Struthio camelus: one gene and its partner. The protein of the gene in region 1 binds, or shares a complex with, the protein of each later gene. Links are inferred from orthologs where the notes say so. Each region holds a gene or a part of one and is shown in the gene's direction. Other genes may lie near its edges.

Region 1 (13,249 bases):
AACCCCACCTGTCTCCCATGTCGCCATTCCAGTTCATTCAATACAAAAATTTGAGTGCACATATAAAGTTGCAGTAAAACATGCATGTGCATATTTATCTTGTTTTTGTTTTATCTGAATGGTAGTCAAAAACAAAGGTAGAAGCAGAAGGCATGCAAGATTGCCCCACAAAATCTGTCCTACTAAAAGCACAGCACAAGACAATGTCCTCGACTCTGCAAGAACCATGCCAGATTCCTGAAAAGCAACCCAATACAAAGTTTCTTGTCTCTTCAACTTGATAAAGCCAGCTAGGCAAGAGGAACGAACTTTGAGACACTACACAGTTTATGAGGTTTTGAATTCCCCTCTGCCACACACACGTAATTCAGTTATATTTATAAAGCTACTTAATAGCTATCTGGAAGTGATCAAATATTTTCAAGCCTAATTAAAGTCATTTACTGAAGGGAACTTTCTTTCCTTCAGAAAATAATGCACTAGATGCTTTAAAAATTCATATACATTGTATTTTTACCTTTGTAAAAAGGAATGTAAACTGCCTAGTGTGTATATATATGAAAAACATTTAAAAGAACAATACAGTAATGCCATTAGTATATTTTTAAGATTACACGTCAACGATCTTAGAAACACTCCAACTTCGGAGCGTACTCACATCCTGCTTCAATACAAACCTGTGAACATAGGACCTCAGGCCATAAAAGCCTTATTATTTAAAAGGGTTTTCATTATACTGTATTCTACTGTGTAATGACACGTTTCAGCCTGGCACATATAAATTACTCCCCTTCTAATAGGTCACATTATCAACTGCAATTTATCTTTTGTTGTATAATAATGTTTATTCCCCCAAAAGAAGGAACATGCACATAGTCTTCACTCTATTTTCTAAGTATCAGTTTGAAATAAAATTTGCAAAACGTCCTAATGATTTAAGAGCCTACATTCTGTTTGCAGAACTAACGTAAGCATTTACAGACCAAAAACTCATGAAAACCCATTAGGATGTAGGTGTTTTTGAAAACTTTAGTCTGCAGTAAGGCTTCATACCTTGACCTTTAGCAGACATAGATGGAAATGGCCTGTGCTGAGGAGTAAATATGCAGCCAGAGGTAATGAAAAGGTTAAACACTTAAATACTTTATTTTAAAGCAAACCTCCAAAACATTACTTATAAACTGAAATATCTTTTGAAATATCTTCAAAAGTATGCTACAGATTATATTATTATCATGAAATATGATTGTAAACATCTCATTTCACATTAGTTACAGAAAGGTTTTCTGAAATTTCCTTACTTCTGACTTTAACTCTAGGACCTCATAAATTCAGTAAATCTAGTATCTTCACATATCAGATCTCACATTCAGTTCCAAGAATATAAGCAATCCATTGATTTTTTTTCCCTGATTTCTCCTGGGGAAATTTTTTTTTACATAATGTAATACACGCTACTTTATTCCAGGGTCTACAGTCCTGAAAAAGAACTGAGTTTTCCTACAGGTATAAAGGTACCAAAAAAAAAAAAAAAAAAAATCACCACATGAACCTCTGCACTTCTTCACTATTTGGCCATTGGAATGTTTTGTTTAAAAAAAGATAAAAAGTCACTACATTCACAAAAATATAAAAAGCCAGCTCAATAAGTTGTCTATAAAGAGATGGAAATGGAATATTGAGCCTATATATTAAGTACGGCAAAATAAAGTAACGAAATTCTAGCAACTTTTGAGGAACTGTAACAGCAAATAAACATACAAAATACATTAAAATCCAGAATATTGATTTTGATGTCAAGGTATCAGCAAAACTCCAGCCAGCAAATATATAGACTGGAACTAACAGGTATTTTACAAGCTCATGTCTTTGGAAGACTTTTCTCCAGACATAGAAAGTATAATGTCTGTTATCTGCTAGTAAATACTTATGAACATAGGTAAATTTCCAGACCAGGAATAAAGAGATGACAGCAATTAAGCTGTACTGCACTGGGTGCTTCCGTAAGGTCAGAAGGAACTTCCTGATTTTAGTAGGGGTCAATAAATGGGGGAAGGAAAAAAAGAGAGTAAACGACAGAAAATAGAACAGCTGAGGAAAGTGCAAACAGGCTTCATGGCTACTTCTGTCACCAACAACTATTCCGCCATTGATGAACACAAAAGCAAAGAACACAACTACTAATATGATGTATGGCCAAGTTAAAGCAATAAGCGTAATTAAGTTTTGAGGTAATATGAGGTATTCAATAACAAACTGGAAAATTCTGATCAGATCTGAAAATGATCCTTTCATGGAAGAAATCTTTTCATCCTTCTTTTTCAGTAACTCTGTCTTCCAGGCCTCATTTAGTTTTTCTGCAACTACATTTCCTGCACAAAAAACCGTCCATACAATATTTGTCTGACGAAACATGAAGCCACAACATCCAAGCAGAGCTGAAGCCTTATGGTTACCATAAAGGCACATTAAATATGAAAAGAGAGTAAAAAATACTGATCCTGGGTCCGTATAATAAAGGAATGTAAAAAAATAAAGGGTGGGAAATATTGCAAGAGTTAATGTAGACAAGATTCTCTGGAAACCAGATACAGCCTAGAAAAGAAGCAAAAAAAATGCAATTAGTAATATCCAATAAAAACCAAAAAAACCCAAAGGGTATCATTCTTCAGAATCCCATTATCACAATATAATGTCTCTTTTGCTCATTGATTCCATTAGTGCACTAGCACGCAAGCTACATTTTTGTAAACCGCCCGTTACGTTAACATAGAGTGCAGGACAATAAAATGCTAAGAGACAAACGAAATCAAGAAGTATAACTGCTGGTGAGTTAAAAATATGGCAAAGAAAATACATCAGCTTCTTCCATATCTCAGATGTTCACATATTTGTAGCATTAAAGTCATTGTGGGAGTATAATTGCTCTCACACCTATGATAAGCGAGTTGCATTAATGGGCAAAAGAAAAGAAAAAAATTTGTTTTCAGTGTTGCATGCCCCTGCAATCACGTCATTAGATTATATTTATTTGTGACACACTAGAACACATCATTCTGTGCTTGCACTATTGCCTCTTTTGAAGCCAGTCCACAGGTGGGCCAGTTAAGCTTCTAACCTTTGGTGCAGCTTTTGTTGTTTATTTTTGTTATAATTCATGAGTTAGAAAAGAAACTTTAAAGAAGGTACAAGATCATACAGTTAAAAACTCCTCCCAATTATCCCACTCACTGCAAGATGCAATGTAATTCACAGCACTAAAAACTGCTGCATGATGGTTCTGAATGATGTAGCGTGGGATGAAACAGCCAGTCACCACCAAATTGAAAACAGAAATAGAGAAAATGCTCAAAGCTCAAGGAAGTGACAACAACGCAAGTACGTTTTGTAACGCTTATACTACAGCCAAGAAACCTTTTTTTTTTTCTTACATTTCTATTTCCACTTCCAAATATAAAATTAAAAGCATTCCAAAAGAGGAAACATTTTACTGATTTTGACCCAGTTCTGTACAGTTCCATCAAGCACTTAAGCATGTAGAGTCCTCTGTAATCTACATCAGAAGACATTTTCTTTATAATGATGGAATACCAGTGAATAGCAAAAAATGTACTTACAGTTTAAAGGTGAAACTAAAGACAGCAAACTAAGCTGAAATAAGCCATTAACTGCTGGATCAATTTACCTGCAACAGGGTTGATGATCCATCACTTTAAACATACAATATTCTCATATCCAAGTTCAACTGTTATGGTCTGGGTGGATCGACAACTAGATGGGTAGAAAACTAGTTAGCTGGTTAGGCTCAGTTAATGGGTCATATTCTATCTGAAGGCTGGTAACTAGAGGGGTACTACAGGGGTCTCTACTGGGACCTGTCCTGTTTAACATCTTTATACTTGGAGACAACAACAAAGCACACTCTCAGCAAGTTTGCAGATGACACCAAACTGGGGGGATGAGGCAACACACTGAAGAGCAGAGCTGCCATCCAGAGGGACCTAGACAAGCTGGAGGAATGGGGTAACAGAAACCTTATGAAATTCAGCAAGGGAAAATGCAAGGCCCTGCAGCTAGAAAGCGAGAACCTACTGCAATGGTTCAGGCTGGGGACAGAGTGACTGGGGAGCAGCTCTGTGGAAAAGGACCCGGGAGTCTGAGCAGACAGAGAGATGAACATGAGGCAGCAGCATCTCCTGGCAGCAAGGAGAGGCAACAGCCTTCTGGGCTGCATTAGCAGAATTGTGGCCAGTTGATCAACCAAGCGATTCTCCCACTTTGTTAGCATTTGTTAGACCACATCTAGAATACTATGTCCAGTTCTGGGCATTCCCAATAATAATAACAAAAAGAAAAGACTTTGATAAACTGGAGTGAGGGGGGAGGGCTGCCAAGATGGTCGAGAACTGCAGCACATGCCCTGTGAGGAGAAGCTGATGGAGCTGGGCTTGTTCAGCTTGGAGAAGGGATGGTTTCGGGGGGACCAAAGAGTAGCCTGACAATACTTATGAGGAGGTTAAGAAGAAGAGGGAGCCAGGCTCTTTGCAGCGCTGCACGGTGGGCCGACAAGTGACAACAGGTATAAATTAAAACAAGAGCGCTTCAAATTGGATGAAAGGAAAAACTCTTTCACCACGAGGCCAGTCCAGCAGTGCAACAGGCTACCTGGAGAGGTTGCACAGTTGCTCTCCATCCTTGGAAGGTTTTCAAGACCCAGCTAGATAAAGCCCTGAGCTGCTTGCTCTGACCCCAGAGCTGACCGTGCTTTGCGCAGGGGGCTGGACTACAGACCTCCTGAGATCCCCTCCAGCCTAATTATCCTATAATTCTAAATCTTGACATCAAATTTGGTATCTTTCTAAAAAAACACATTTTTGCTCAAACACAGCTCATTGGGCTTCGTTGAGGAATCAGCGGGTGAAGTTTTATGGCAAGCCTTAAGCAATTCCAACTAGATGAGCATTCACTCCTTCAGATAAAAAGTCCCTATGAATATTAACTTTATGTTTTATTTCAACTAAACTGTTTACAGGCATGTGCAAGGGTACGTCTTTAGAGGATCACACCCTTAGAGGGAGAAAAAAGATTGTTTCTGGAGAGAAGAAACGCACCTCCCTGACTCAAACTGGTAGTGATACTTGTAGCCACATAAAAACTGAAGATAACTCAAATATCTAATAAAAGAGGCATATGTAGAGTCACCAAAATTGTTTGCACTAGTGCAGAAAATTATTCCACTTGAACTGTACCTTATTTTTCGGATGCATCTTGGACAAAAGCAAGTACAGTAAATAGAAGTTTCCAGCACTGAAAAGGAGGTTAATAAACCTGAGCATCCCTGTAGAGCATACGATGCTTCCGGTCCACCCAAAGAGCCACGCCGCAGGCCTCACTATCCCAACCGAGAGCAGGTACAGGCCAGGCAGAGTAGTGATCATGGGATCCCACTTCAAAACAGAGAGAGGGGTCAGGTTACAGAGCCGCTATCGCAGGGAGAACGGGTCAGAGATGCACAACCCCAGAGACAGTTACGACTGACAGCTGTAGCTTATCCTTCGTTTTGTTCCTTTAGCTATTTACTGAATTTCGGGTATTAGTGTGAAACGTTGACATGTTTTATATGTCCTTCTATGGTGTCACGTGCATTCGATGAGCAGTAAACACAGAATCCCAGAACGGCTGAGGTTGGCAGGGACCTCTGGAGGTCATCTAGGCCAACCCCCCTGCTCAACCAGGGTCCTCTAGAGCACCTTACACAGGATCGCGTCCAGGCCATCTCCAGCGAAGGAGACTCCACAGCCTCTCTGGACAACCTGTGCCAGTGCTCTGTCACCCTGACAGGAAAGAAGTTTTCCTCGTGTTCAGACGGAAGGGCCTGCGGTTCAGCTTGTGCCCGCTGCCCCTCGTCCTGCCGCTGGGCACCACGGAGAAGCGTCTGGACCACTAACTATACCGGACCGCTAGGTAACGGAAAACACAGGCACGCGTTTCAGGCGCCTCCTCCCCCCCCCCCCCCCCAGAAGCACTCCCCCTTTTCCACGCACCCTTACGGCTCCTGAGGAGCAGCGCTCCGCGGCGGCAGAGCGGGGCCGCATCGCCCCGACGCAAGGCGGGGGAAGGAGGAAGCGCTGGGGCGGGCGCCAGGCGCAGGGAGCGGCCCGAGGGGGGGCAGCCAGGGCCGGGGGGAGCCGGCGGTCGGCACGCACCTGCTGGAAGCGGCCCTCGCAGTAGGCCTGCGCCTGCGGGACGTGGAAGGCCTCGTCCATGTAGGGCGCGCGCTGGCGGCGGTTGAGCGCCGCGAAGAGCAGGCACGAGAGCAGGAAGGTGCCGCTCATGGCGGCCGAGAAGCCGTAGGCCGCGGCGCGCTCCATGCTGCTGCCGCCGCCGCCGCCGCCGCCGCCGGGAGAGGCCGCCCTTCCGGGGAGGGGCCGGGCGGCGCGGGCCGCGGCGGAGGCGGTCGGCGGGCGGTGAGGGCCGCGGGAGCGGCGGCGGCGGCGCGGGTCGGCCCCGGGCCCGGGTCCCGGCGGGGCGGGGCGGGGCGGGGCGGGGGGTGCCGGGCGCGGGCCGCCGCCGCCGCCGCCCTGGGGGTGTCGGGCGGGAAGGGGCGAGCGAGGCCGCGGGCGCTGCGCCGGGGGGAGGCCGCTGGCTGGAACATCTGGCTCAACTTATCTCTCATTAAACTCGATGTTCACCTCAAAGAAGTGCTGAGAGTCTGCGCTGAGCACCTGTGACCGGTCAAGCATTACTGAAACGCGGGTCTGTACGAGGCAGAACGTGTGCGGCTTGTGTGTAATGACTGTTCTTGCGGATGCCCTAGGGTAGGTCGCTGCTGTATGTTATTCCGGGCGAAACTGGCGCTTTCGTGACAAGATGCCGCATTTAACGCACCAGCTGGAGCTATTTCCGGACCGTAGCGTGACTCTCCTCCTGTTTAATCATGTGAAAAATGCTGCGGCTCTCAGAAAAAAAGCGATGGAAGGCTGTATTGATGGAGCATTAATAAATCCCGCCATGGTAAGCAAATGTCCTTATTGTCCTGTTCATTCTGCATTATGGTTTTGAAGGCTGCATGGAGTTCTGTCTGCCTAAAAGCTGTAGGAAAATGAGCTGTGTTTGTAGCCTCTATCATGTAAGCTGCTGTGTATACTTAGCTTTCACTGTGTAAATGCAACTCCTTTGATTTGATTATGACACTACAGAAGTATATGTGTCCCTCTATGTAGAAGGTAGAGCCTAGTCTTTTTTGGCAAAAATGGCCAAAAAATAATTCATCTCCTCCTTGATTCCCTTAACGTTCCTACTGCGTGGAGCTATTTAAATCTACTTCCATCTGTAAAATGTATTAATAATCATTTAGTGCTCTATTAAAAACCGCTAATGTTAGGAGCCTTTGTTCTCATCTAAACCCATAACTAGTTTCTGGTTTTTTGTCTTGAATTAAAGCAGTTGTTGGTTAGGGAAGAAAAAAAATCTAATCTGGCAATTAACTGAGAGAAGATTTATTAATGTGATACTTCTTTCAAAAGATTCCAGTAACCTAATTGTGAGTGTAATCTTTATTTTTATGTCAAGCATTGTCTCACTCAGTAAATGATCCCATTGACTTTGGAAGAGCAAGATTTACTGAAATGAATTGCTGGATAGTGCATTGCAGACGGTAATGATGGCAGACTGTCAGAGTCCAGTGCTCTCTGACCAGGTTCTTTTAGATATTCCATGTATACAGAGAGTGCAATGTTTCCTATAAAAGTTTATTTTTGAGGGAGTTTGATGTTACATGGGATTTTGATTTAGCAGAGTGATTCAGTAATATACTGAAATCACAATTCAAGTGTATACACTTAAAAAAATATAGCTGAACAGTTCAGTAACAATACCAATGTGTGGTTGCCATTACTGGTCTCAAATATGCTCGCCGACACGACGCTGAGTGTCCCCAGTTGCTGGGAAGGACTGTGTGGGTTGATATCAGCTCAAGCCCGTTCCTTTCTTTGAAATTTCTTCGTTAGTCGTTGAGGTTTTATACTCTCTATTGGGCTGAGCTGCATATACACTTCCATCATGCTGGTCTGGCTAATCTCAGGCAGACATTCGCATCCTTTTGATCAGCTCAGGAAAAAAACTACTTCCACCAGGTCCAGGTAACAGATATGGCTGCTTATCTAAGATGAAGGCCACCCCTGAGTCCCCTTTGTCTTGCGATAACATCAGTTCTCTGTGCAACAGCTGTGGTTAGCGAGCTGCCTCCTACACTGTCCTTGACGTTTATGGGGCAGCTTGCCCTCTGAGCCTTCTCCCATTGTACGGGTTGTTGATCCGTCACACAGACTTAGCCTAACAAAGTTGAGCGCCACGGTTTTTTTTCCGGTGTTCAAAATATTGCCTAAAATTTCTATTTGTCTATTGTATTTTACAGATTGTAGACCCTTTTCAAATTCTTGTGGCAGCCAACAAGGCAGTTCATCTACACAAGATTGGTAAAATGAAGACCAGAACTCTCTATACAGAAATCATTTTCAACCTTTCGCCAAACAACAATGTAAGATATACAGAACAGTTAGTGTTTTTTCCAGAGAGGCTTGCTAAGTTCCATGCAGTCAAAACTAAATATAAGCATTCACTGAACAGTTTACCTGGCCTTACAACATCATACTCTGATGTACCAGAACCTTCTCTGAAGTAACCAGAATAGTCATATTTCCGTAGTCCTACTGTTGTGCAGACAGAACTCACATGCAGCGATTCTCTCCTTCGTTCTCATCCTTGACAATTTCAGAGTAATCACAGAATGGTTGAGGTTAGAAGGGACCTCTGGAGATCATCTAGGCCAACCCTCCTGCTCAAGAAGGTCCTCTAGAGCATGTTGCCCTAAAATGTGTCCAGACGGGTTTTGAATATCTCCAGGGAAGGAGACTCCACAACCTTTCTGGGCAACTTATTACAGTGCTGTGTCACCCTCACAGGAGAGAAGTTTTTCCTTACATTCAGACAGAAACTTCCTGTGTTTCAGTTTGTGCCTGTTGCCTCTCGTCCTATCACTGGGCACCACTGAGAAGAGTCTGGCCCCATCCTCTTGACAGAGACTTATTACACGGTGATAAGATTCCCCCCTCGGTGCTCTGTTCTCCAGGCTGAACAGGCCCAGCTCTCTCAGCCTTTCCTCATAGGAGAGATGCTCCAGTCCCTTAATCATCTTAGTAGCCCTCTGCTGGGCTTGCTCCAGAAGTTCCATGTCTCTCTTGTATTGGGAATTCTCCTCTATGTTGTTTGCTTTTAGGGTTTTTTTTTTTAATGTAAAAGTCTGTAATATTTTTCTTTAAAAAGGTAAAAATGTTAGGATACCTCCAAATCCTCTCACAACTCGTATAACGGAAAAAAACCCTACTGATTTGACAACACGTTGCCATGAACGTTAGTCACTGTGTGAAATTATAGTCTTAGCAGTCATAGTGAATAACAATACTCTCATTCTGATGTTAAGTGTAATGTATTAAATTAGTGTATATATATTATATTGTATTATAATGTATTAAATGATTTAATTAATACTTCAGAAATTACCCATAATACTCATGCAAATTACTATCAACATTTGACAATAATACAAAAGATGGAAAATAAGACTTTTACTCTTTCTCCTTTAATGTACAGTTCTAGAGCACTACAGAAAGCACCTAGTAAATGATTTCAGAAATAAAATTGTAGAATGCCGATGAAAAATTAATCTATATAGGCTGTAGGGAAATCACTTTCACACAGTTCTGTTCTCATTTTTGCCAGTAATTGAGCAAATGTGCCAACTTCTTTGGAAAAAAAAAATTGACACCATAACTAATATTAATTAGGGGTCAGTGAATCCTGAAAGAGTTAGAAGACAATGGAGATTCAAGAATAACTCTCTCCAGGGACGCATAGCTTAAAATAATGTGGCAGATGTTTAGCTGTCTAGAATGTACTGTGCGTAAATGATGATAAATGATTGATTTTCTTTGCTGCTATCCCTGTCTTCCAAATAGTCCGTTTGCACTGCGCTGTTAAAAATAGGAGAGCATAATGGTGAGCCATAGCTTATTTTTTAACCTATGGACCATTTTGTATAAGGAACCTGGCTTACATTTGTTGTGGTAGCACGTGGTTGTGTCATGTTCAAGCTTAATTAGAATTTTAACACTTACTCAGACTCCCATTTGTCTGACATTTCCAAAATACCTAGGAAGTCAGATAAGTAATAGGTTTGTGAGACTCAAGGGAACTGCAGAGTTTCAGCTTCTTAAGTCATTCCTCAAGCCAAACCCTGTAATAGGTAATGTAAATTCATGACCTGAATGCGTTGATAACAAGGCTTTCATAAAATGTAATTTTAGCTTACAGAGGTTTATTTCCATATGTTCCGTGTAAAATCAGTGGTCACAGATATGCTCCTACAAAGGGCAGTTCAGAGCACTTAATGCTAAGATTTTGCTCTCTTTCATTATGTGAAGAAGTCTCTTTCATTATGTGAAGAAGGGTATGGAAGAAAGCTAGCCTCCTTAGCTAAAGTTAGTATTTGGGAATATCTCTGTGAGACTTTTGCTTTGAAGATGATCATTTACTGCCCCTAGATTTATGAAGAGGAACAGAAATGTAATTAGAGAGACAGAGACGTTTTTTCAGATATTCTTCCCTAAATATTTTTAGCCTTTATTCTTCCACAGTCGTTTTATCCTCAAATTTCTGTATCAATGGATCTGTTTGATTGTAAACTTCAGCTGTAGACACACTCAGCAGCAGATACACTAGCAAAATTAAGAACTGTCTGGTAGGTGTTAGGCTGTACCATTTCTGTATATAGATTTTGTTTTGTTTTTTTTTACCGTTATATATATATTTTTAAAAACAAAAACAGTAACCAAAAAAAAAGCCTCAAATGTGGAAAGAGACTTGACCTAACCGATGTAGCAGTTGTGGTCACACAGTAACTATTATTCTAGTTTTCTGATGATTTAAGATCATGCAGTCTTGCCAAGGGGGGAAAAAAAACCCTAAAACTTCTTAACAACTGTTTTGATCCAGGTGGAATAAAACCCCCAGACTACTAATAGAAGTTAGTGTAAGAAGTAATTTCTCTCTTATAGTTGATTAACATTTTATTAATATAGATTTTGTCAGTTTATACTTCAGGTTTATTTGACCCACTAACTGAAAATGTTGCTTAAATGTAGTAAAAAAATGACTAGTTAAATTTTGGGTTTTTTTCATCTTTCCTTAGATTTCAGATGCATTGAAAAAATTTGGTATTTCAGACAGTGACACAGCGGTACTCATTGTTCTGGTTGAAGACAGAGAAAAAACTGTAAATCTGGAAGATGTAGCATCTCAAGTAGAAGGCCAGCAGGTTTCTCTAGATGAACTCCCCCAACTAACAGACATTGCAAAAATTAAAAAGGTATGTAGCCAAAAGAGAGAATTGTGGTTGAGGAAAGGGGTATTTTATTTGATTGTCTGATTAAATCTCAACTGACATAACTCATTTAGAGTTTATATTTCTTTAATATGACTGGAAGCTTGCTATAAGTAAAACTTGATTATTTGTTTCTTTTACTAGTTTTACTCTGGGGGAAAAGGTTTCTAGTGGTCGTCCTCTAATGTACCAAATTTTGAGTCATCAAATTCTTAGTATCCTCAGAAATTTAGAACACAGAAATGAAATCTAGATTGCTCCCCACTGTTCTGTCGCTTCCTTTTCTTGTTTTCCCAAGTAAATATACATTTAATTAAAAATAAACGTTCAGTTCTGCGTAGTTTCATAATCTTAAATACATAAATAGTCCCAGCACGGGCAACTAAAATAAGAATGATTTGTTGGTTACCTGCTAGGAACCGTGTTAGGGCATTTGCACTTTAGCAGATTACCGTAAGCTAGGAAGGTATCTTGAAGTATGTGTGTTCCATGTGATGAAATTGAAGCAGCTTAAACCGTCTTGCTTATGTCAGTCAAAGTAATGGTGGGAGAGAGATGAGCAAAACTGGACGTATCATAGCATATAACATGTAGAGCTGAAAGTACTGTTATCTATCAGTTTCTTAGCTTTCCCTTGGCTCTGCAGTTTAAGAATTTGCCTGGTTCCTACTCCTTCATCTAGCCTGCAAGACAAGACATACATTTCTACTGTAAAAAATTGGAGGGGGTTAATGTATATATTTTTAAATATATTTTTAATATTTTTTTTAAAGTTAAGTATGATAACTTTTTTCTGCCTTATACAGCCTTTATGTTTTTCTGGGTTTTTTTCTGCAGATGTACAAACTTACTCCACAGGAAGAAAAAATCGGCACCTTATTGGATGGCATTATTTGCAGAATGTCGACAAAAGATGTTTTATGAAAACGTGCAAATAAATTTTTTTTAAAAAGAAAAACAGATCTTTTAAGCTTCAAAAATACTTTGTGGTAATTCAGCCTGTATTTCAGAGAAATCGGTGTAATACCGAGTAGTGTGGTGGTATCTGAGCTTTAACTATAAATACTAGCTTGGATGTGGGAGTAATCTAAGCTATATTCTAAGCACAAGCAATTCTGCTGTACTAAGCAAAATTTGCTATTACCCTTTCTGTCTATGTTCTTATTTAACAAGAGAAAAGATCACTTTTCCCGATACCTTGAGCTGATCATAAAAAGAAGGCTTGAAAATCTGTACTGACTTTTCTCTTTCATTGAGCATTTTATCATCCACAAATAGGATTCAAACACTGTAAATTATTTTTATTAATCCTACTGTGACTTGTTTTATTTTGGCACCCCTGAGGGGTGATATCATTTTGATGTTTAACAACAGTATTGACAGGAAAATTGTCTCAGTAGTGCCAAGTATTGCTCTTGGACTAGAAAAAGGGAAGTTTTTCACACCGTATCTGCAGTATCTCCCTCTTCCTGCTAATGGAGTAGAAACGCTGCCCAGCCTTCAGGAGAAGGAAGGCGCGAGGCATGATGGGACCCGGTGGTGCAGCATGGAGCTGGGCCAGGCCATGGAGAGGAGTGCGGTATGACGAATAAGGTCAGTATGGATGATACTATGGTGGTATTAGCACCTAACAATTTGGCATCTCATACAGTGTACAGTGCTGAGCTACTGGTGTATTGCTCCGTGTTACGTAGTGTTGGGAGTTAAAGAATAATGAGAGACATTTTTAATTTGTGACGCTGGGAATTAAGCCTAGTGATGCTGACTTGCTAGGGCTCTGTTCCAAGTGTGGAATTCACAGAAAAATCT
Region 2 (12,161 bases), on another chromosome or scaffold:
GTTAAATTAGGTGTGTCTACATGCACAGTAAGAATGTTTTCACAGATTTTTATCTGCAAGCTTCTCTTCAAGGAACCCCTCTTTGCCTCCCCCACTTCTACGTTTACAATGAAGAGAGCATACATACCAAACAGTCTTCACACGTGCATAACTTGCTTCTCCAGTTTGATGGCCAAAAGGTGGCAGTATCTTTTCTTAAAAATTTCTTGCTTTGGAGTTCTTTCAGCTTGCAGACTGGTTCTTCACTCTTAGTAACTATCTGAATTAAAATGAGAGTGCTCAGTACTCTAACTTCACTTCAAATGCATTCAGTTCTAGCAGCATGTCATTTTCCTTAGGCAAGTTTTTTTTTTGTTGTCTCAGACATTTATTTCTATAGAATATATAGAGAGAGCCGGACTATCATGCAAATGCAGCCACAGTGCATAATACCACTGTACTAGAACAAACTCAGGAGTTATTTCAGTGTGAAGGCAGAACAGCTGACAAGTACAGGGCTGACTCTTTACTTGCAAGTAAATCACCCACATTTCCAAGCACGTTCCATAGCCTATTCCATGCTCCACAGAGAACACAGATTTTAGCATCTCAGTAACAAAAATACAGAAAACGAGCATGGAAATAGACAGAAACCATTTACCTGAACCTACACAGAAAGAGGTGGGCTTTAGTTTCCCTATCAACAGGATGATGCATACAACAGAAAAGAAAGCACATTTTACCTCTGGACATGAAGGCCCAGAGCTAGTAGATGGTTCATTAAACTGTTCTGTTCGCTTTCCCTCCTCCTTTTCTTGGTGTTCTACTCCACTTTCTTTTTTTATTTCTTTCTTCTGTTCTTCGTTTTCCTCAACGTTCAGGACAATCCCCTCATCTTCAAAAGAGTTCACTTTGGTCAAAGCAGGAACTAGGACGATGCATATCCATGTAAATAAAAATACTGTGCCAGGCAAAGTACAGACTACTACATGCTTTCTTTTTTGCTTTATAATGCCGTGTTACAGGGCACCTAGACTGTCTGATACAGATCATAACCAGAGTTCTAGATACATTCTACAGTTATCCAAAAACAGTGACCTATGTATACAATGAAACTCCTTCCTCTTTCATCACCTCCCATATTCCCATCCACAAATACTCTGCCTCCCAAAATGTAAGACCCTAGGAGAAGGAAAAGGGTAGCATAATTTCAGATAGTGTGTGACAGCTGCTGAATCTGTGATAGCTATCAAGAAGTGTCAAGAAGGACAAGCAACTTTTTTGTTGACTTTGTCCTTCCATACCTTTTATAAAGCATTTGCAGCTGTCTTCAGCTTTATACACGGTTTTGCAAAAGACAATTTTAGCAGTTCTTTATACACAGAATTGTAAATTAATAACAATTCAACATACCAAGCACAAGACTTTCTGTAGACCCTCTGCTGCACGTGTTCTTACTAACCAGAAGTTACAATAATGTAACTTCAGCTGAATGCTTCAAGAGTTTTAGTTTTCCCCATAAAATCTTTTGCTAAAGAAAGATACTAATTTTCATCAAAACAGCTCAAAAATACGAAGTAAATTCTACCAAGGAAAAGTCACAGTTGTCACCTGTACTACTTCTAAGGATGTACTAATAATGTATGCATCTTTGAACAGTTTGGGGTAACTCAACATGCAAGTGCAGTGATCTCAGCAACCAGAACGCTATGAAAGATTAACTATACTAACTGCTTCCTTGTGTCAATTTTACCTTTTGATGTCAATTCAAATGTGAGCATGGTAACACAGCTGGATGTGGGGGGGAGGGAAAGCAAAAAAGAGAACCCATCTTAGAATTCTTAAAATTACCATTTGAAATTCCTGGTGAATGAGTGCTCAATCTCCACTCAGTATAAGGAATCTTTAGGAAACAAGACTACGTGAAACCAGCCCTTTCCACTGAAAGCAAGTTAGCTGCTCTTCTCATCCTGCAGAGACCATGTACTGAACACACACCTGGTGTGATCACTGGTCTCCCCTGAGGGAACACACAACCCAAACAGAGCTCCAGCTATGTTCAAATTAAGATTTTACACGCTCTCTTTCAGGTTCAGAGTCTCTTAAACCCAGCTGTTTTCCTCACAGCTTCCCTTATGATGGCTCTTCAGATCTTTTGATTGAGCCTATAACTTAAGTTCCTTGGGGCAAGTAATAGATCTTCATCCATCCATGTGCTAGCATGCCTTTGATGAAATAAATAAGGTAGTGACAACTATGGCATTAAGATTTATGAACCAGACTTCTTTTTTTTTTTTTTTTTTTAATAGAACAGTTAGTGCAGCCTTATATGTTTCACTGCTAAAGGTGGTTATCTGGCATGATGAATATCATTTACTACCACTTACATATATTATGTCAATAATCAATAATTAATAATCAATTAAGTATGAGAAATACATACTAAAGAAATATTGGCTCAGAAACGTTAGTTTCCTTTACCTGCTAATTGCGAAGCATAGGCCCATAGGAAATGGCAGTGCTTCATGCAGGCTTGGCATACCATTTCATGGAAGTCTCCGCTTTCAGGAGGCACTGCACCAAGATGCTGTCAAAAAGAAACAAGCACACAACCGTGAAACACTGGCTGCAAATTAACAAATTCAACTTTTTAGTTTTAGTGCAAGTAAAACGTCAGCTGCTATCTTATTTTCACTGCAAGCATGCAGTCCTGCTTACTTTCTACAACCAGCATCAGTATAAGCAAAAGGTGGGAAAGAGCAGATCAAATTCCAGGGAAAAACTGAGATCGCAGTGCCTTTGTTTACTGTCTTTTATGCTTTCTGCATACCCAGAAATCTCAGTTCTATCTGTATCTCATTTCTAAACGTCGTTCTTCTAAACACTGTCCTAAATATAGCTGCTTAATAAGATATCTAACACATACTGCAACTTTAAACTCCCACGTTAACTTTTTGTGATTGTTTCCTTACACATAAGAAATTGTAAATCTTCATTGTTCGCATACTGAAATTGAGAAGAATTAGGTCTCAAAGCCCTCAAATAAATTTATGAGAAACACTGAGGCAATGCCTCAGTGCACTCAACTGTTTTCTTTTGAAAAACATTCTTATACAGCTTACAATATGCAGCATAACATCCTTAATGCCCATATTTATATATAAAAAAGGAAACCCACATTTTTATCTACAGAACCTATAACTGAAGCAAATCATCCTGTTTTCTTCCTTGTTCCAGCAACGTCAAACATTTTACTTTCTTTCATCCACTGTGGAATTTCACTCATGCCCTCAAAGGCATGACAAGCTGAATCCTTGCTCGTGCATTAAGTAGGGCATTCAGTAAAGCGATTCAGTAAAGTGCTTAGCTGCTTCTAAAAGATTTCTCCAAAGTCTGTAATCAGGGACCAACAGTGCAATTTGTTCCTTACTATTTAATGTAATTACAATTCAAAGCATCCCTACTCAGATTCCAATTATTATAATTTTTCAGTTAAAGACAGTTACAAACCTATTATTTTATTCCACAGAAGTAACCTTGAAAAAGTAGAGGTATTCCTAGTTATTTTGGACCAGAGTGAATAGCAACACAAGATTAAACATTTAGTAATACCTTGCAGAAGCTGAAAAGAACTGCCCTCGAACTTATGTAAAAATCTTCTGAGAACTACAGCAAATCTTTCCAAGGAAGAATTACCATACAAAACTAACTGACATTAATTTATTTCTATGCAAATAACAATTCTGCTACTTATAGTTTCCTTACCCTTCCGTGGAACCAGTCTTCACAAACTATGCATTGGATCATTTCATCTGGAATCTAGATGAATGGTCGTATTATTAGCGTTAATATCAACCTTCAGAATCTTTCACAAGCCTCAAACTGCAGTATTATGCAAAGCCCACTCAAGCGAATTGCATTTCCCTCTTCACCCACTCACACTGAGCTGCCATTAATAAGTAGTTACTGTTTCATTAGTCAGTTTGCTTCGTTAAAGTTCTAGAGCATGTGTAATTTATTAGATTATGAAGACCATGGAAATTCCCAGTTGTATTACAAAACTAGTTTTCCCAGCAGAGCAAGACATTTTTGTACAAAAGAGCAAATAAAAGCTGACATGGTATCAGTATCTTTCTTCCTGTAAACAGAAATGCATAAATAGGGGACTTATCAAAACAAGGATATTTATTATTCTCAGTGTCATCAGGTTTTATTTAGGAATGCCATATTCCTAACTTAACTGTCCATAATACAAACTTAGTACAAACTGATTTATTATGAAATAATTATTAATGATTTCTTTAGAAATATTTAGATTTCACTAAACTTGGGAGAAATTAGTTCATATTTTATAATAATACTAATACAGTCTTTTCCTATTTGGAGGATTTATGCCTTTCTTATTCTTTCTGTTCCTAACAAACTCATTTTTTAACATCTAACTTTTATAACTGCAAAGGAAAGTTTCTATGCGTAAACCAAGTGCCATGTTTTAATACTTCAGACAGAGAAACAGCATTTCCACTGATATAAAGGAAGGCTAAAGCCACTGTTAAAAGACAAAACATCCCCACCCCAGAAGCAGTCTTGTTAGAGCACTGTCACAAGCGTGAGGAAGCAGATTCTGATCTCTCATATCAAGTGACTTCTCTGTGTTCGTAGGATTTCTCAAGATAAACCCATTCCCTAAGAGAACCATATAATTCTACAGAGAGGAAAGCAGAGATGAGTGTACCACCATTTTGTCTGAATGATGGCGTGTCTTCCTCCTCTGTTTTTAAAGTATAAAGAGTTTTAACTATTTTTAAAAAGAAAGTGAGAATGTATTACTTTATATAGTGAAAGACAGTCAAAAATAATATCGATCATAAGATTTCTGAAAGTGGGATCTTCCTTAAGAAACAGCTCGAGGATCACCCTTTGCACAGTGGTTTGTATAGACACCTTCTGAACATGGTTACTGCATATTGCATTTCTTACCTCATCTTCAGGATCGGGATAAGGTCTTTTACAAGTACAGTATAATCCAAAGAAATTGTCATTATACTTATTTCCTGAATTCACTTTGCCCTTTTCCTAGAAAGAAAGGAGAAATTGTTTCAATAGGCAATGCAGTGAGAAACAGAAGACCGGAAAGATGCATACCCTAAAAAAAATTTTTACTTCCTAAAAGCGGTCATTACACTCATCAGCTTGAGCATCTGAAAACAAAGATATTACCCTGAGACCCCTATGTTATACAGTCGGCAGAAGACAGGGCACGTGAGGAGTACTGAAGTTCAAAAGGAAAGACGAAGAACAGTCTTTTCACACACAGAACAGCAAATGGCAACTATCGTGGGTTTTGTTTAAAGCTATTGCTCATCTAAAAATGCCTAAGAGCATAATATTTCTTTAACAATAACTGTTGGGAGCCAAATTTAAATTTCTTTTATATGTGCACAATTCTTTCCAGAAGGCCATTAGCCACTAAGCTTTTATTCAAACAAAATCCTTGAGGTTTGATCACCAATCATGCATGGCTGTTGCCATTGCAGCAAAGTCTGCACATTTACTGTGCACCTTCCACACGCTCTTTCTTTTTTTAAGCATCCAGACTGTGGTCCAAACTCAATTTTGTTTAATGTTATGTTTTGTTTAATGTTTAGCTTACACTAAATTAATGTCATCTAAACCTCACTCCATATGAGAGGGTGTTCCAAATTACAGAACACACTGAATGAAGTTCAGTTACAGCTAATTCCACTTCAAAAAATAACTAATACAGCTGGGGCCGGAGGACTTCAGAAGTGTATGTACTTGCAGCCTAAGACCACAGTCAGCCCTTGCAAAAACAGCTGTGACAATTTATATGCTATAAAATGCTTTTTACCACTACTCTGTTAAAAGAAGAACAGATGATATGAGCTCACTTCATCCATGAAGTCAGCCAGCTGAACATACTGATGTTGAAGGTCATTTAAACTAGCAGATTGATTTTGCACTGAAGAGAAGGAGGAGCCATATGATCCATTTCACTGACTCAAACAAGGAGCAGTAACGTCTTAGAATTGCCACACGCGACTCTGTAGGGATTACCTGACTGCAGCTCTAGGCTTACTAGCTCTGGATCAGCCCCAATTCTGCCAGGACCAAACAGGTATACACAGAACCACTTGCTGTTTCTACACTTGGAGCATTATCATCTCAGGAACAGAACTGCAGGCAAGCCAAAAAGCTTCTTTCCTCTGTCTGCTTTCCAGAACATTACCAAATACTTAATGAGTCCAAACTGCCCACTGAGCATGAAACTACAGGGAGCTTAATACAGTAAAAAACTACTCCTTCAGAAGACTCCAGTGACAGCCTATCAAGAAAGATTAGCGCACTAACGCTGCCACAGGAAAGGGGATGGAAATGTTCCTTCAGCACAATCTGAAGTTTCCTTAAAGCAACTGTAAAATCATACCCCAAAAAGATTCTCCTGAAGCCAGCTTAGAGATAGCAAGAGTTATCAATACAGGCATCACAACCTGCTAAAGCATTTTCGCTGTTTCAAACATTGAGCTAGCTATGTATGCTAGCAGCTGCATCCAAGAGTGACAAAGCTCAAACGTTGCCCCTCATTTAACTTGCAGGGAGAAGAAGAGGCACAATATGAGTCAGCACTCTCTAAGGCAAGATACCACAACCTTCTAAAACTGTTATTTTGATTCTGTATGTCTAAAAACCTGTATCTGAACTTACTGGAAGTAACTTGCACTGCAAATTTTTGAATTTGCTATTTCCACAGTCACAGCGGAAGTTCCTGGAAAGAAAAACAAAGCATTTCAGATTGATTATCTAAAAATGCATTAACTTTTGTATTTGCAACAATTCCCAACAGTTTATTAGGAACCATAAAAATATTCTTGCAGCTATTTAAACAATAGCATCTGTTAGAACTGGCCAAAGAGCCTTGCGGCCTTACCCTCTCATGCTGTGTTTCTGGCAGATCTCAGCTAACATCATCATTTACAACAGCATTTGGCTGAGAGACCTCAATAGAACAGCTAACTGAGGGTGCTGCAACTACCACATTCAAAAAGGCAAGCATGTGTATTGGCAAAAGCGTGTAAATTGGTTCATCTCCAAAGGCTAGGCTAGATCAACACAGACGATTAAGCTCTTATCTCCTATTCAGGACCCTAAATTCTCACTAAAATAGCACGGGACACTTGGATAGCTAAAGAGAATGGAGGAACGTGACTACTTAATTAACCTGACCTAAGTTTCCGGCCCAGTTTTGCAAACTTCCATACTACTGGAAACACGGTATCTTAGCATGAGTTGCACATCTAAACATTGTCCTGCTTTGGTCCATTAAAACCCATCTTAAATTTTTTTTTTTATATATAGCAGAGGACGCTGTGGGAAAATTGTTCTCTGGACAATTAATCTAGATACCAAAATTCTTCAAGGAGTTTCGAAGTACTCAGACCATTAAGGAAAACACGAGAGGGGAGGACAATTATTAGTTGAAATCACTGTGTTTCAGTACCCTGTTAAAGAAAATGCTGTATTTCACGTCAGAGATGCTTGTGTTGCACTAAATAATTGCATGAACCTTAAATGATTACCTGATTTGCAAGCGAAATTGCAAGGATAAGCCTTAGCATTTAAAAAGCAATTGTGGCAAGCACATTCAGTAGTTCCCAAGAAAACCCACGGGATGAACTCTGGAAACCAAAAACTTCGTAGATTCGAAAAGACGCAATACCCCTAGTTCTTACGGTACTGCTTCCACAGGGGGAGACTCAAATTGCTCTGTGCCTCTCAGCGTTACTTTTTATTTCCCTGTTGCAAGCAGCCTGTGTGTACTTCAGGGCACAAGATGGACACAGGTGTTTGTTAAGAGGAGGACGCACTCGACGTCTGCGGAGGCGCTACGCTCGCTGTTCTGCCGTCCCGCTTCGCGGTTTGGCCGAAGCCCCGGCAGCAGCGCTCCTCCAGCTGCGGGTCGCACGTTACCTCTTGGTGTACAGCTCGAACAGCTTGTGCGTGCCGTGGCACTCGTAGCTGCAGGCCAGGCAGATGCCCGCCGGCTCCTCGCCCGGCGGGGTGCAGGTGCTGCAGGCGTACAGCGCCTGCCTCTTCACGGCGCCCTGCAACGAAACGGCGCGCGTGGGCACGGCGGCGCCGGGCCGGGCCGGGCCGGGCCGCTGCGGGCGGCGAGCCCCGCGCAGCCCGGCCGCCCCCCGCCCCCCGCCCGGGGGTCCCTCGCGGCCCCGCCCCGCCCCGCCGCGAGGCGCCAGGTGCGCGCGCCCGGCCCGGCCCGGCCCCGCCCCCACCTGGGAGTAGCTGCATCGCTCGTGGTCGCTGCCCCCCAGCACGGCCCGCGCCTCCTTCTCGAGCTCCTCGTTCTCCGCCAACACCTCCGCCAGGGACACCACGGGCTCCTCCGGGCCCCCCGCCCCGCCGCTCCCGGGCTCGGCGCCCTCCTCCGCCGCCGCCGCCGCCTCCATCGCCGCCGCCGAGGGCCGAGCCAAGCCGAGGCGGGAAAAACGCGTCTCGGGCGCCAGGGGGCGCCGCGGCGGAAGCGGAACCGCAACCGCAACGGCGCGCGCGGCCCACGTGACGCGCGCGGCGGCGAGTCACAAAGAGGCGGGGGGGGGGGGGCGGAGGCAGCTGCCGCCGCGCGGCGCTGTGTTGTGGCACGCGGCCTGCGTGAGCGGCGCTGTGGGGCGGGGCTTGCGCGCGCGATGCGCGGCCTCGCGGGCGGGTTGCGAGCGCTTCCGGGTCAGCCCGCGCGGGCTGCGGATTGGGTGGCGGCGATGCCCGTCACGGCCCCTTGCCCGCCCTCCCCCTCCCCCTCCCCCCCTCCGGCGGCGGCGGCGGCAGCAGCGGGATGGAGCTGCGCGCGGAGCTGACGGGCCGCGACGGGCGGACGTGGCCGCTGCGGGTGCGCTGCGAGGCGGAGGCGGGCGCGGGCGGCGAGCTGCGGGGGCTGCTGCGGGGGCTCGAGAAGCTGCAGGAGCAGGTCGCGGAGCTGCTGGGGCCTCTGGTGCAGGAGGAGAGAGAGGCGGGGGGCCGCGGCGGGCCGCGCGGTGAGTGGCGGGCGGCCGTTGGGCGCGTGCCGCGGGGCGGGGCGGGGGCGCGCGGCGAGCCGGGCGCCGCGCGCCCCCTCTGCCTCAGCGCCCTCCCTCTGGGCAGCCGTGTGCTACTGGAGGGGGGCTGTGTGCCTTTTTCAACACCTCATCCGCTGTCTGCTTGAACCCTGGTAGGTGATGTTGGGGAAGAGGAGGAGGAGGAGGAGGAAGGAGATGAAGATGAAGATGAAAACAACGTTGACGTGAAAGCAAATGCAGATGGCCCACCTCTAAAACGGACAAAAGTTCAGCAGTCCTGACTATGGCGTGAAAGACTGTATTTAGGCCTAAAAAAGAGACTTTACAGCAGTATTGAATGTAAGTGTTCTTTTGGAGGGTGGTACCTCGGGGGTGGGCAGACTGTTCTTGCAAGGCAGGTGTCAGCGTTTTTCTTCCTTTTGCTCATGTTTTAAAAATGAAATGTAGATCACTGTCACTATTTCAATATAAGAAGCCTAATAAAAGGGTGTGTATTAGCATTAGCAATGTGCTTTTTACAGGAAGCGAATATTAGGCTGAAAAGATTGAGAATTTTCAGTAAACCAGGTGACAGATATGAAACACTTTTAATGGCTTCTCCTGATCACAGTATTTCTTCATATGACTTAAAACCAAACTATTTTAAAATAAAATAATAAAATATGAAGCCCGTTATTTTGTCAGCTATGGTTTTTAAATGGTATAAGACAAAGAAATCATTTGTATGGAGAGAGAATAGTGTAAGATCACTTGAGTATTCAAAATAAGTTACAAACACTTGCACAGATGTGACTGTCTGTTCCTGAACGAGCCTAAAAGATGGCAGATTGTTTCTGCGTATAATATAAAAGGTTTATTTTAGTCACCCATCACTGAAGTACTTTCCTGGTAAAGGTCATAGAAGAAGTAGATTGAAAGAGCTGGAAATCTTAGTCTCCAAACATTTTGAATTTTTATGATAGCCAGGAAGCTGACAAGTCAATGCGACTTGGATAATTATCTTTTATATCATTATACAAGTAAAACATAGCTGTCTATCCTAGTCATCTGTTTCTTCCAAACAATCTTTGTTTTTTCAAGAACCATTTAATCTTTATATACCTTTTTCATCACTGACTTTTAACCAGTTTGATTTTTAGGCCGATTCAGCAGCTAAGTCAAATAAAGTGAACGTCACAGCCTTATTAATCTGCCTATGTAGAAGTTTCAGCATTACGTCAAAGGACAAAAGGAGCAAAGTGAAATTTTATGATACTTCCTACAATAAAAACAAAAGTCAGGGCAGGAACTGGGGGCAATATCACATTCTACACTGGTTAGCGTAGTTGATTTTAGAGGAGAAAAAACGTAAGTATTCTTGTAACACCTGCCAGTATGTTATGTTTTTGGCTGTACAAACCAGCATAACCCAATCTCTGTGCTGAGCAGGAAAGAGAGATTGTCCTGTCATCTGATGATAATGCAGTAGGTGGAATGTTATCAGGCTGTCAGATGGTTCTTGCAGGGAGGGTGAGGGTTGTAAATGCTTCCTGTGTGTTACTTTAATTCCAAATTTCTGTTTGGTGCATGCTTCTGTGAACAAGTATAAGATATGCTCGATACCCAGTCCACCGAGCTTGCTGTGAAGCCTGAGAGTTTTCCCTACCAGAAATTAGCTAGCTGATTACTAGTGTAAAAAGCATTAATTTCCATGTGTTGCAAAACAGCTGGCATTGCTTGTTTCTTGGTATTCTAGAAATAGAGCAAATCTTGACACATGAATACTGAGGGCAAACAAAATTATGGGTGAATTTTTACTAGCACAAAACTACCTGCATTCATTTGAAATCATGCAAAAAGTTGAAAAAGAGATCCAGTAAATGTATCTTGGATGTCTTTCTAACAAATTCACACAGGACACACCTATTATTTTGCTAGCAGATATGACAGTCATAACTGAGGAGAAAAGACTGTGACATCAAAGACTAGAGAGTTTTATTTGCTGAGAACCTAAGATAGGAAAAAAGTGTACAAATGAATTCTGACCTCTTGTCAGGCTGCAAAATCTTAAGAGTGATAAAATACTTAAAATGTTCTTTTAGTGTAGATAATATATGCATTGAAGGAAGTGGCTTATCAAAGCGGCACAGGCAACATTTCACATACAAAAGCTAGCCTAATAAAGACATCAGAGGGCTGCTTCATGTGACCTGTGCTAAACTAACAACATGTGTTTTGGGTTCCATGTAACACAGCTTTAGAAGCTTTTTATAGAGCTCTACCCAAAGCAGTATTTTTTTTTTATTTTTTCCCTCCCTCCTTCAAACAGCACTCCTAACCACTGCAGTAATGTCAAGAGACTCCTTAAAAATAGTCCACAGGTACACAGAAGTTGACATGTCACCGGTTGAAAACCATTGGTGTAGACCAACAAATCCTAACTTTACTAGCCTGGGAATAAATTAAGGTAATGCTCCAAGTAATGAGATAACTGTTTTCCTGTGTCAGCCTGGACAGTGGTGACATCTTGCACTTGAGCTCCAGAAGAGTTCAATGAGCACTGAGATGAAAACGGCCACTCAAATTTTGCTTTTAAAGAATCATTTCTAGTCCTTCTGTTTGCAGCAGAATTTTGAAAGAATGAGGAGGATACTGGGCTTTCAACCTTAAGCGTTCCTAAAACATAGGCTCACCTGTGACATAAGTGCCAAAACTCTTCAACAGAGAACTTTATTTTTCAGAGAGCTGCTGTTCTAGGGTAACTAGGCACACAAAAGTTGTGGTGCTTTTTTCCCCTCCCCCCTCCCTGTCTGTTCTTAGAGCTGCGTTGTGGACTCTTTGGGGCGGAGGCCCTCTCTCCCACCAGGACCGCAGCCTCCCAGTTCTGGTACTGTCCTTGTAGTCAGGGAAACAGGTATGTGGGGCAACAGAGGTAACTAGCTGTGGCATCCCTCTTCCAAGCAACCAAGTCACTGAGGTCTACAGCATTTCCCATGGCTGTGGGAAACAAGCTCTAAAGTTTTCTGTTATGTGGAAAAACTTAGCACTCATTGGTGTGGAGAATATAGCAAAAAAAAAAAAAAAAAAAAGTCTGCAATGTGCAATGACTTATATCAA

Evidence for each region.
Region 2: TPRKB (region 1) and GON7 share a complex: the UniProt entries of both Homo sapiens proteins name them as parts of the EKC/KEOPS complex. The link is inferred for Struthio camelus from reciprocal best matches to the Homo sapiens genes TPRKB and GON7.

What each region holds. Positions count from the first base shown.
Region 1 is NC_090942.1:17,452,383-17,465,631, forward strand, and holds TPRKB (EKC/KEOPS complex subunit TPRKB), read left to right. Parts: upstream 1-6,823; 5' UTR 6,824-6,870; coding exon 6,871-7,014; intron 7,015-8,416; coding exon 8,417-8,539; intron 8,540-11,248; coding exon 11,249-11,425; intron 11,426-12,277; coding exon 12,278-12,364; 3' UTR 12,365-12,673; downstream 12,674-13,249. Other genes in the region: ALG10 (dol-P-Glc:Glc(2)Man(9)GlcNAc(2)-PP-Dol alpha-1,2-glucosyltransferase), read right to left, coding at 1,540-2,595, 5,250-5,447, 6,207-6,371. UniProt on the Homo sapiens protein: Component of the EKC/KEOPS complex that is required for the formation of a threonylcarbamoyl group on adenosine at position 37 (t(6)A37) in tRNAs that read codons beginning with adenine.
Region 2 is NC_090946.1:66,325,131-66,337,291, reverse strand, and holds GON7 (EKC/KEOPS complex subunit GON7), read left to right. Parts: upstream 1-8,811; 5' UTR 8,812-8,845; coding exon 8,846-9,044; intron 9,045-9,221; coding exon 9,222-9,346; 3' UTR 9,347-9,732; downstream 9,733-12,161. Other genes in the region: putative E3 ubiquitin-protein ligase UBR7, read right to left, coding at 128-259, 723-907, 2,461-2,566, 3,745-3,798, 4,960-5,055, 6,706-6,766, 7,969-8,102, 8,289-8,462. UniProt on the Homo sapiens protein: Component of the EKC/KEOPS complex that is required for the formation of a threonylcarbamoyl group on adenosine at position 37 (t(6)A37) in tRNAs that read codons beginning with adenine.